Linked DNA regions of Oryzias latipes. The protein of the gene in region 1 interacts with the protein of each later gene in a pairwise test. Links are inferred from orthologs where the notes say so. Each region holds a gene or a part of one and is shown on either strand. Other genes may lie near its edges.

Region 1 (3,623 bases):
GAGGAGTAGAAGACATAAGAAATTCACCTAAAGGATAGCAAATTAAAATGAAGTTTACGCAAACGTTTATTCGCCATTTGTTGACTAACCCTCTAACGTTTACTCACCAAAGTGGAGAAAAAGCTTGCAACTGGCAAGTGTTACTTTCAGACACTTCAAAATAAAAGTAAAATTGCATTAGACTCATTCTTCTATTAAGAAAAAGTTGTATTGCAATATATGCAATTATCGTTTTATTGCCCAGTCCTAGTTTGAAGTGAAAGGACCTTCTTCCCTTTCCTCACTCTTTTCTACTAAAAAAAACTTTCCAAATAAAACTTCCTTCAGAATCAGATTAGAAAAAAAACGGGAAAATGTTGAGTTTTTTTTTTTTGTTTCGTTTCTGTGGGCTGGTACCAACTGTCGGCTGTAGCTCCTCCCCACCTGTTGTTTGTGCATCATCCTATTAGATGTGTAGTCTCTGTGCGGTTTAGATGGGCCAAGCAAATCAAAAAGCATCCAAATCTCCAATGTCTTTAGTTCTGCTGTTTCTCATGTGTGCCTGCCTGCTGTCAGATCCCTCTGCTGCAGGCGCACCCCCAGCTGAAGCAGTGTGTGAGGCAGTCAGTGGAGCGGGCGGTCCAGGAGCTGGTGCACCCTGTGGTGGATCGCTCCATCAAAATCGCCATGACGACCTGCGAGCAGATCATCAGGAAGGACTTCGCCCTGGATTCAGAAGAGTCTCGCATGCGTGTTGCCGCCCACCACATGATGAGGAACCTCACGGCAGGCATGGCCATGATCACCTGCCGTGAGCCGCTGCTCGTGAGCATCGCCACCAATCTGAAGAACAGCTTTGCTGCGGCGCTTCGGGTACGCCGAGTTCCTGCACAATCTTTTTGAAACGCAAAACTGTTTTCTCTGCTCTTTTCTTTTTTAACTCACTGAGTTTGAATTTATGGGTTCTGTTAGGCTCCAACCCCCCAGCAGAGGGAAATGATGGAGGAAGCTGCAGCCAGGGTCGCTCAGGACAACTGTGAACTGGCATGCTGCTTCATTCAGAAAACTGCTGTGGAGAAGGCTGGCCCAGAGATGGACAAAAGGCTGGCTACGGTGAGGGATTTAAAATATTCTCATTTCTTTGTTCACATTTTTATCAAAACAATTGAGCCCTATTTTAACATCTACTCTGATGTCTGTAGGAGTTTGAGCTGAGGAAACATGCTCGCCAGGAGGGACGGCGCTACTGTGATCCCGTTGTCCTGACCTACCAGGCTGAGCGGATGCCTGAACAGATCAGGCTGAAGGTGAAATCATGATGACGTCTAATTATGAATCATTAAAATAAGCCGTAGTTTAAAAGTAGTCGTCTTTTTTTCTTCTTCCCCTTAACGTTTTTATTTCTCAAAGCTGGAAAATTTCAGAGATTGTGTCTGATCAGCAGTTTTTATGAGACACGACGGGCTCGTGTGTTGCAGGTGGGAGGAGTCGACCCCAAACAGCTGGCTGTTTATGAGGAGTTTGCCAGAAACATCCCGGGTTTCCTGCCGAGCAACGATCTTTCACAGCCCACTGGCTTCCTGGCTCAACCCATGAAGGTGAGGTCATTTCCTGTGTCCGTCAAGGAAAAAAAAAAGTCCTAACCGTCATTCAGAAGCTGAAATATTGAATGTTTTTCCCTTTTCTTTCTGAAAAAAGAAACACATTTATTTTTGATATTCAGCTCTGTATTTTCTTTTGACAGACGAACCAGAAACATGTTTTTGACTCCATCCCTCTCTTGTGTTTCAGCAACAGGCATGGGCCACTGATGACGTGGCTCAGATCTATGACAAGCTAATTGCAGACATGGAGCAGCATCTTCACGCCATCCCTCCAACTCTCACCATTAACCCTCTGACTCAGGCTCTGCGCAGCCTGCTGGAGTCCGTGGCCTTGGCCAGGAACTCCAGGGATGGCATTGCTGCTCTTGGGCTGCTGCAGAAGGTGCGACTCTTGCAGCTCTGTGTCAAAACAGCTTCACAATCCAAGTCTCTCTGGCAAAAAACACCCGAGCTCCACTGACTTTAGAAATGTTTCTTCTGAAAGTCACGCATTCATATCGATTTGTTTGCTCTGCCCCTCCAGGCTGTGGAAGGACTCCTGGATGCTACAAGTGGTGCTGATGCAGATTTGCTGCTTCGCTACAGAGAGTGCCACCTGCTGGTGCTGAAAGCCCTGCAGGACGGACGAGCTTATGGACCACAGTGGTGCAATAAACAGATCACAAGGTGAGGGATTGAACTGGCTTGGTGGTGCAGTCATGTGGTTACCTTAACTGAGGAGCGATTATAGTTTTTATTTGAGGAATTCAGGGAAAAAAAGACCAGGAAGTGGGGGGCTCAGAAAGGAAAATAGGAGCAGGACTCCACATGCAGTAACTTGATTAAAGAGAACTTTAGTTCCAAAAGCAGAGCATGAACACACAGGAAAGGAAAGGAAAAGCCTCTGCAACAAGAGATAGAAGCAAACATGGAACCAGACACACAAAGAACTATCGGACTACTGTCGTTGCAGCATCTTTAGGCATAAGAATATTTATCCTCAGCCGTAACACGAAAAGAAGCAAAGAGCCAAAGGCATGATCAGAGGACGGGCCACCCAGATCCAACCCAAGTGAACAAAGCTTTATCTCTTCATCTTAATTTATTTGTGAGCTGCAGCTTCCTGTGAATTAACCCCTTTCTCGCCAGTCGCCAAATTAAAATCACTTTTATCAGACAGAATCTCAGACTTAATGACTTTGTTTTTCAGTTGTTTTTATACAAGCACTGAAAATGTAGCAGCATCAATTAACAGCTGCTCAGATGTGAATTCATCAAACCTCTATGATCAGAATAACAATGGTCCCTCATTATTTCCTAGTTCAATTATTGAGATATTGCTGTTGGACCGTTTTTTTTCTTTAGTGCAATTTGGCCTGCTTTGTTATCTTTATTTTTTAACACTGTCCTGTGTTCTGTACCTCAATTGGCTGTACAATTTACATTAAGATTAACTTTATTAATCCCCGTAGGGAAATTCAGTTGTAGCAGCGCCATAAAATAAATTCAAAATATAGAGGGAAGAAAGATGTACAAGCAGAACTCTCAAAACCCCCGTGTACATGGACAGTCATGGCTGCCAGATGAATTGTAGCATCTGATGGCAGGAATGACTTTCTGTACATAAATCTTTAATAGCGAGCAGATAGTTTTCATTCTATAATACTGAGGCTTTTTTCCTGCAAAGGTTGGAACTTTAAGAGTTTAAACAAAAATGTTCATGTGGAAAGAAAAAAAAAAGATGGAAGCATGTAAAGGGACCTTTCCCCGGACCGTCACACTGCCCTACAAGAACAAAACTAGAAAGATAAAAAAGAAAACTAGAGTTGGATTTAATCAAAAGATCTGAGTGTTCCTAAATGTAAAGGAAAAATAGGCCCACAGCTTTTCCTGCATTCATTCTAGTCTTTTTAATGGTAATGTTGGACAAAGCAGCATCCAGAGAAAAATGTAAAGTTGTAACCTGATGCGTGTTTCAGGTGTCTGATTGAATGTCGGGATGAATACAAATACAACGTGGAGGCAGTCGAGCTTCTGATCAGGAACCATTTAGTGAACATG
Region 2 (4,294 bases), about 12 Mb from region 1:
CTGCAGCTGAGAAAACAGAAGAAAGTGAGCAGTTATTCATCTCAGCTATAGAGATAACTCCTGAATCAGCATGGTGGAAATATTTCTGCTGCCTTTTTGTTTTTTGCAGAAAAGGCAGCTTTGTGCAGTGCACTACCCAGCTCTAAATGTGTCCCCAGAGGAGACAGTGAATGTGTCAGGAGCCGGAGATAGGTGCAAAATATTTACTTTTTCTATTTTCAGTTCCTTTTCCTCATTCCCTTTGCTACTATGTGATATTTTGCCTAGTACTCATTAATTTAAATACCAAATCAGTCATCTTTAAAAAGAAATGTAAATATCCATTTGTTTTTCATATTCAGTAAATTAAATTCACTGGGAAAGTTTATAAATGTTTCATGTTTCTTTCTGTCATCGCAACATGTTAAAGAACTTGATCATGTCTTTGTTGTTTTTGCAGTTTTGCAGGTGCCTTGATAGCAGGAATTATCCAGGGAAAAGACACAGACGACTGTGTGCGAATGGGTCTTCTGGCTGCAAAGATGTCCCTGGCATCGCCGCACCCCATATCTCCAATGCTCAGTGTGGATTCCGTAGATCCTACAAAACTAAAACAAATGAATTGGCCAGCACCAAGTTTTTTCTGGATAGACAAGGGTGTACTTCTCTGATTGTTTAAGCCATTTATTTATTTGTTTTTAAAGTTTTAGCCTTTTAACTTTTAATAGTTAAATTTGATTGTAACTAAGTAAACTAATGCATAAAAGTGCTTTGTCCACAATGGTGTAATAAATCAGGAATCAGGAATCTTTATTGTCATTTTATCACATTGATAAATAAGGTAAATAAGGTAATAAATCAAATATGTTAAAGTTGTGGGTTATGGGTGTAAAGGACTTTAAGCAGATAGATTTCAAGTTCAAAAATGTACTTTAGCCGACACCTGCTAATATAAAACCTATATACCGGTACTCTTAAAAAAGTCAGATGAAAATGTTGCAGACATACAGTAAGTGCTATAAGTGTCTGGAAATCATGCAGCCATTTAAAACAGCACAAATAATTAAAACTAAACCTTGATGTTGAGATTTTAGAACCAGGGCTTTTGTTTGATGTTTTGTTTTATAATTATTTGAACAGCTGGGATTATGGTAATTATTATCATATTGTAAAGCAATTGGTGACTATTCTCTGTCTTTTATATTTTGGTATTGTTTTGTTGATGAATCAATTAAAAAAATCATCTACATCTTCCAAATGTTTTTACTTTTTCATTTTTTTTTATTTCGCAAAATCGGGGTTGGATCATGTTAAAGCAAAAGAAGCATGTAAACTCCATCTCCCACAAAGCATCTGTTCTATTGCGCAGGCTCAATGGCACCGAATGTTTGCCCCGCTCCCTCCTCCCTACTATAATGCTAGCTAAGATGGTGGTTTGAGCGTAATTTGTCTCAACAATACCAAGAAAAGAAAGGGGCAAAACATCTTTACAACCTTTTAATTACAGCAGAACAGCACAACTACTGTTATATTAAGTGTCCATTTAGATAAATTGTGACTTTTCTGTTAGATTGGCTTTTAGTCCCCGCCCAATTTGGTGTGACTCCTTTGGAGTGGAATCCTAAGCTAAATACGGACAGGGTAAGTAACGCTAACATTAGCCAAGACCGCTAGCTCGAGTTCCTTCCTATCTCAGTAAATAAAGGGCGGGTGTGCATGTTACGAGCTCTCGCCGACAGGAGAGTTTTGTCAAGATTTCAGAATTGCTGTCCAGGTAATATTGGTGCACTTGGAGCACTGTCAGCTGTTCACTGTACAAGCAATTTGTCTGCAGATATTAGCTTGTGTAGGCCGCAACGTTAGATAGGCTCCAAAACCTTGTACTTCTATCGTTAACTACTAGCATTCAAGCTAAACGCATAGCATTACCCAAGCTGTCATTTTTTTTCTGTCTACAGCAAACGTCATTGCCATTTATTTTTCTTTCTTTCTTTCTGTTTCGTGTCATTGCTTGATTTGTGTTTCGTGTGTTTTGTTTCTCTAGTCACGTTTACAACATAACTGGATACCCGCCAGCAGTCGAACCGGCGTTCTGTACCAATTTGTTGCTAACGTTAGCTTAGCTCAACGTTAGTCAAAAAAACATCTGTCACGATAATGTACGATCCAGAAGACAGAGCCAGTCTGTCTCCACGCAGCTAAAGTCACACGCAGGGTTATCTCTGTATTTTTCTTTAACACGGTGATGTCTGCGAAACAATCAATGATACTATATAATAAACGTCAGTAGCAGGAGGCTATCAACCAATCACCTAAAATGCTGGTGTTGCGTTAATGTAACTTAATTTTGTTTATGTTTATCAATCTGAGGTTGTAATTAAGCCCATCTGTCTTAAGCGATGCTGTCACGTAGAGACCGAGTTAACTATCCGAGTTATTCAACAGGGTTATATTCATAGAGAAACGCACCTATTTTCTCCTAAGCGTCAAACGTGACGTGTAAAACTCTGTCAAGCCACTAGAGATGTACAACACCCGCTTTGACACTTAGCTGTCGGTAGTTCTGTTTCAGCTTTTTCTAGAAACCTAGTTTTCTGACTATTAAATAGTACAGCCACTCATAGTGATTGCTGGTCTGTCCAACATCCCTCAGCATCCTTTATAGGTTGTCGTGTTTTCATCTATTTAATCCAAGTTGTGTTTTGGCATTGCCCAGAGCTCAAGGGGGATCCTTTTGTTTTGTTAGACCATCAGTTCTCTATGCTAGTTGTGTCAAAGAAACTGCAAACATTTTTCACGACTTATAATGGTACAGCACTGTTTTTTTCTCTCTCTGCCTTTCAATATCATTACATAACTTCTTGATTTTTGGTAGTTGTATTCATCTTAATGACCGCTTGTATCTCCTTTCAGATATCTTCTTCGTAGAAAAAAAGCAAACGTGTAATTTTATGCTTTATTTTTTTATATAATACTTTTATTTATTTTCATTTCAAATGTAAAAAATGTTTTTGTACAAAAAGTGATGGAAATTCATGTTGGCTAATACGTGCAGCCAAGATGCGCCTTGCTACATTGCCCGCCCATATTTTATAGGTGTCCAAGGTTGCATTTTGTTGTTGGCCGCACGTGTTATTAAACTTAAAGTTTAAACTCCCATTATCTGTCACAAACCAAGGTGTGTTAAATGTGTTCCCAAATTTGATCCATCCCCTGGAGGAGCGGAGAGCCACACTCAGGATCTGTTTGGTGGTTTAACCCTAACCACAACTGTAATCCTGACCTTAGTCCTTCCTCTGGTTCTGTATGGCCAAGACAAAAGTTTAGGGCTGACCGCACGTATTTGGAGAACTACCTGATTTACTATTTTTTTACGTGTTGGGTTTGTCATCTAGGTTTGATAACAAACTTTCTGAAAAAAAGTCACTCCCCCCTAACCTTGAACTAACTATATTTTTAATTTGCCTGTGTTTTATATGAAATGTTATTTTATATTGAAAATATTGTAGGCATCATTCACAATTATAGGGTTATGTGATTATTTTAAAAACATAATTGTCCGTTTTGCTTACAAAAGCTAGTTTTTTTTTTCTTTTCTATATTTTCTAGTTTTGGAGCTTTCGTTTTAAACTATTCATGACTTTTTTGACATTTTTCTAAATGTATTTAAAGGTTGAATAATGTTTAAAAATAACTGATATACCCATGTCCTGTTGATTTAGTTCAGCTCCTTTTTTAACTGAATAAATCAACGTTGTGCTTCTATTTCCTTTTTTGTAAATGTTTAATTTTGACTTTGTTTCCATTCTTTTCCCTTAAGGAGTCACCTCAGCAAATCAGCTTTTTTGTTTCCATATATAATAACTATTTGAAGATCTGAAAAAGGTCAGTTTCTATGATGCTGACATATTATCAAATTTGAAGTACTACATGTATATGTAGCTCATGTGTCAGCAGGTTCTCTAGCTTTGGAACTGACGATAAACTAGGAACAGCTCTGAAGCAGCCCTATGCAGTTTATCTGTAGCACCAAAAACTTCAGTGAAATATATACGTTCATTTTGTCCATTCGAAAAATATTTTTTATTATTCTATTTGTTTCACTTATGAACTGCTTGAAGTTTTCTTCTGTTTACATCAAATTATACACCAGTCATGTTTACAGCAAATAGTTTGCTCACCTTTGATTTATTACTGCTTATAAGGACCGTATTTGCCTAAAATCATTTTTATTTATTTTTGCAGCCCTGTGCTCTGTGACCAGCCTCAGTGCCCACTTGTGCTACACCGTAGGATGTCCCACAGCCCCGAAATA
Region 3 (4,171 bases), on another chromosome or scaffold:
TTGGAGAGAAGAATCCAAACAAGATCAAGTTTTACATGGAGCAACAAAAGTATCTCCCGGCAGTCACATATTAGCCATATACTGGCTTGTTTTTGATCGTCTAGATACAGATGATATTAATATTAACATTTTTTTTTTAAAGATGGCAGTCAAATTCCCCGAGCCCTAAATCTAGTAAAAGATTTTTCTAATGGCCCTGCACTTCATCTTAACATCAAAAATGTGAAGAACTACCTATCAAATTTGACAAAACACGATCCATATGTAAAATTCCCATCACATACATGTAACACACCTAGGGATTACTATCACCAAAAATTATGGAAACTGTGTGTTGGCTCTCCAGCAGCAGCAGTTGTCTCTCTTGCCGCTCGGGAACTCTCTCCCGACGCCAAAGCCGTTAAAGACATCCCTGTTACACACAACCGTGTTTGCTTCTTAACTCTTAAATAATGGACACAGGAGACATTTCATTCTGAACCTGAAGTGCAGCTCCCCACTCACTTCGTCTTGACTATGATGAGAGGCTGCGCCTTCCTTTTTATTTTCAACTGCACGTAAAAAAAATTGGCGCATGCTTACGTAATAACATAATCAGACAGAGATCGTCTATGGTGACAGACATTGTACTCCAACACTGTGTAACATACCTAGGGATTACCATCACCTAAAACGAACATAAGAGAAGTTCTTCAAATTTCAGTCCCTAGTAAAACGTTTTAACTTATGGGTTTTAATTTAGGTCTCTTACCTGAGCCTAAAAGGCAGAGTACTGCTATCTCTACCTTCTCTTAACTCTCTCTCTCTCCCTCTCCCTCTCTATCTATCTATTTAAATAAAACAAATGTGAACGATTATTTGGTAGGAATAATTCATATACCATTTCCACCTGCTGGACTGGAGAGAAACTGAAGAAAACTACATCACCCAAGATGCAGTTCACCGGAAAATACGACTAAAAAATACTTCAAGCTAATGGCTCGCAGCACTATCCCATTCAGGGTCTTATTTCTTTCTCAGTCCTGGAAATATTATCTTTTGTAACTCTTTGGTTCGATTGATAAGTTATACGTTCATTTAATCTATTTGGATAATTATTTTTAAAAAGATGATTGATGTTTTGACGAGTTTCCCGGTTTTGTAGCTTATTTTTAAGCTAGGCTAACTTGATGCTAACCGCGTTATAGGATCTCAATCGAGATGACTTCTGGGCCACCGTCCTCCACTCTGCGTCTTCAAAGATGAATAAGCGGGTAAGAGCGCCGCTATAGTTATACAGAAAGACTTATCAGGGACCCCGGTCAATCTCTGCATCCGATCGAACTGTGGCGGGGAAACGATGACTCTGGCTCCAAAGGAACTGTCCAACCTGCTGAGCATAATCTCGGATGAGGCCTGCAACAACAGCTTCGAGACCCTCTCCACTCATTTCCATCATTACTTTGGGAAGGCGGACCACTTCAAGGTGGGTTCGGTTCTGGTCATGCTGCTGCAGCAGCCGGACCTGCTGCCCAGCTCTCCGCAGCGGCTCACAGCCCTCTATCTGCTCTGGGAGATGTACCGAACCGAGCCGTTGGCCGCGAACCCGTTCGCCGCCGTGTTCGCGCACCTGCTAAACCCAGCACCTTCCGGGGATGAGCAGGAGAAAGCCCTGTCCGGTAGGGCCGCTTCCTTTCACCTTTAGCCCGACGTCTCATCAGAACCGCAGCCGCTCAGTCTCTGTTTCGTTGGGTCCAGGCTTCCTTCCTCCCATCACGCAGCCGGAGAAGTTCTTCCTGTCCCAGCTGATGCTGGCTCCGCCCAGAGACCTCTTCAAAAAGACCCCCAGACAGGTGTCCTGCATGGACGTGAGCAACATGCCCCCATCTATAGACATCAGCGGGCTGCAGCTTCCTTTAGCAGGTCAGTGAAGGTTGTAAGGAAACATCTCATCACAGGTGAAGACGCCGTCAATCCCAGCCCTCTTTTTGCAGAGCGCCAGTCAGAGCTGCCCACCCAGAGCAAAGCCAGCTTCCCCAGCATCCTCAACGACCCCGATCCAGACTCCTCCAACTCAGGCTTCGACAGCTCTGTGGCCAATCAGATCATTGAGTCTCTGGTCACAGGGCTGCGTCCTCCTCTGGAGAGTAAGTGCTTTTTTTCACACAAGCTGTGATCACATCTGTGGAAGAAAGAAGGAATCTCCTCAGAAAAGATGGTAGCCGTCTCCTCAGCAAAAACTCACGGTTACAGGTTGATCGGCGCCGACCTGATCTGTTGAGTGCGATTGATCTTTAACTGATACTTTAAAAAAAAAAGTGTTTGAGTGACTGTCTAGAAGGTTTTTGCTGAAGTTATGTCATTTTTCAGTAGTTTTATATTAAAGTATTTAGACTTTGTTCAAAGGCCGTCTGTCTGAAGGTGTTGCTATGAGGCATGGTAAGTACCAGTTTCTCAAAACCCTCCCAGGTCATTTTCGACCCGAGTTCATCCGGCCGACGCCTCCGCTCCACACATGCGAAGATGAGCTGGCGTGGCTGAACCCCACCGAGCCGGACCACTGCATCCAGTGGGATCGGTCAATGTGTGTGAAGAACAGCACCGGCGTGGAGATCAAACGCATCATGGCCAAGGCCTTCAAGAGTCCGCTGTCGGCTCAGCAGCAGTCCCAGGTAGGTCTGATGCTGATCAACAACATGTTTGGTTTACACAAAGGCAAAGTCAGGGTTAAAATAAAAACTTTATTTAAAATAGGAACTCCTGTTCTTTGCAAAGAAACAAAAACTTAACTTCAGATCTGCTCTTTTTTCATTTTTAAATCAAGATTTATCAAAACAAAAACACAATTTGTGGGAAAAGTATTTGTTTCTTTTTTAACCTTTGTCTTCCTGGATTAGTTTTCTGGTGGTCTTAAAAAAAATCAACCTTTATTTTTCCCTTCACTCAAAAACTTTATCGTCCGTTCCCTAAAAGACAAATTATTTCTTGTGGAGGCGTTGACTCCTACTGCTGTGCACCGCTGTCACTCCTCTGTATTGACCTCGCCGTGTGTGCAGCTGCTGGCTGAGTTGGAGAAAGACCCAAAGCTGGTGTATCACATCGGCCTGACGCCTGTGAAGCTGCCTGAGCTGGTGGAGAACAACCCACTGGTGGCCATCGAGATGCTGCTAAAACTGATGCAGAGCAGCCAGATCACAGAGTATTTCTCAGTGCTCGTCAACATGGACATGTCGCTGCACTCCATGGAGGTGGTAAACAGGTGGGGGCGGGGCTTTGGCTGTATTCAGACCTGTTAACGAATCTCCAGTTGGGTTCCAGTTTGGTGCTGTTTCTGTAGTTTGGAAGTGATGGAGTTGTTTGCTCTCCTCCGTCAGGTTAACCACAGCTGTGGATCTGCCTCCAGAATTCATCCACCTCTACATCTCCAACTGCATCTCCACGTGTGAGCAGATCAAAGACAAATACATGCAGGTCAACACGCGTTCTTGGAACTGTGAACTGCTGAAGAGAGCTCAAGAGTTTTCCTCTGGAATAAAAACCCGCTTGATTCTTGCAGAACCGCCTGGTCCGGCTGGTGTGCGTCTTCCTGCAGTCGCTGATCCGAAACAAGATCATCAACGTCCAGGACCTGTTCATCGAGGTGCAGGCCTTCTGCATAGAGTTCAGCCGCATCCGTGAAGCGGCCGGCCTCTTCCGCCTTCTGAAGACCCTGGACACTGGGGAGAACCCGGCCGAGGCCAAGCCCATCAAATGAGCAGGAGTCCTGACATCAGAGGGAGCAGGGAGCCGTACAGCTCAGTCATGAGAGGACGTGCTGTAAATATGCAGCTCTGCGGAGGATCTTTGTCACTGACTCATCAATTTTTTCTTTATTAAACCCTCGAGTTTGTATTATTTTCGATGTCATTTCCTGAGTGATCAAATGTTGCATTAAGTCAAAGCTGCAGAAATTCCATAAGCTGCTATCACTTCGGCAGATTTACTGGAGCTCAGTGAAACATTTGAACTCAAAAGTGTTTTACTCCTTATTTTGTCTCCATAAAATTGTTGAGTGTTTGGTTCTTGTGTGCAGAGTTGTATGTTTGCAAAGCGTGACACAAGTTCTGACCGTTTTCTTCTGCTCCCAGTTTTCTAGCTTTTAAAAATGTTGAGGGTAAAGTTTTGCTGCAAATGCTTAAATCATTTAAAAAGG

What was found.
Region 2: the proteins of cnot1 (region 1) and cnot4 interact in a two-hybrid assay, tested with the Homo sapiens proteins (3 studies listed by BioGRID and IntAct, with this or other methods). The link is inferred for Oryzias latipes from reciprocal best matches to the Homo sapiens genes CNOT1 and CNOT4.
Region 3: the proteins of cnot1 (region 1) and cnot11 interact in binary tests that used the Homo sapiens proteins (3 or more experiments, as listed by UniProt). The link is inferred for Oryzias latipes from reciprocal best matches to the Homo sapiens genes CNOT1 and CNOT11.

The regions. Positions count from the first base shown.
Region 1 is NC_019864.2:25,882,174-25,885,796, reverse strand, and holds part of cnot1 (CCR4-NOT transcription complex subunit 1), read left to right. Parts: intron 1-555; coding exon 556-852; intron 853-951; coding exon 952-1,092; intron 1,093-1,181; coding exon 1,182-1,286; intron 1,287-1,457; coding exon 1,458-1,577; intron 1,578-1,770; coding exon 1,771-1,965; intron 1,966-2,106; coding exon 2,107-2,249; intron 2,250-3,541; coding exon 3,542-3,623.
Region 2 is NC_019864.2:13,396,001-13,400,294, forward strand, and holds the start of cnot4 (CCR4-NOT transcription complex subunit 4), read left to right. Parts: upstream 1-1,372; 5' UTR 1,373-1,620; intron 1,621-1,630; exon of another isoform or gene 1,631-1,753; intron 1,754-3,842; exon of another isoform or gene 3,843-3,864; intron 3,865-4,224; 5' UTR 4,225-4,273; coding exon 4,274-4,294. Other genes in the region: pseudouridine-metabolizing bifunctional protein C1861.05, read left to right, coding at 1-24, 110-192, 440-650. UniProt on the Homo sapiens protein: Has E3 ubiquitin ligase activity, promoting ubiquitination and degradation of target proteins. Involved in activation of the JAK/STAT pathway. Catalyzes ubiquitination of methylated RBM15.
Region 3 is NC_019879.2:14,490,773-14,494,943, forward strand, and holds cnot11 (CCR4-NOT transcription complex subunit 11), read left to right. Parts: upstream 1-1,339; coding exon 1,340-1,658; intron 1,659-1,737; coding exon 1,738-1,902; intron 1,903-1,973; coding exon 1,974-2,126; intron 2,127-2,448; coding exon 2,449-2,651; intron 2,652-3,035; coding exon 3,036-3,238; intron 3,239-3,353; coding exon 3,354-3,450; intron 3,451-3,535; coding exon 3,536-3,733; 3' UTR 3,734-4,040; downstream 4,041-4,171. UniProt on the Homo sapiens protein: Component of the CCR4-NOT complex which is one of the major cellular mRNA deadenylases and is linked to various cellular processes including bulk mRNA degradation, miRNA-mediated repression, translational repression during translational initiation and general transcription regulation.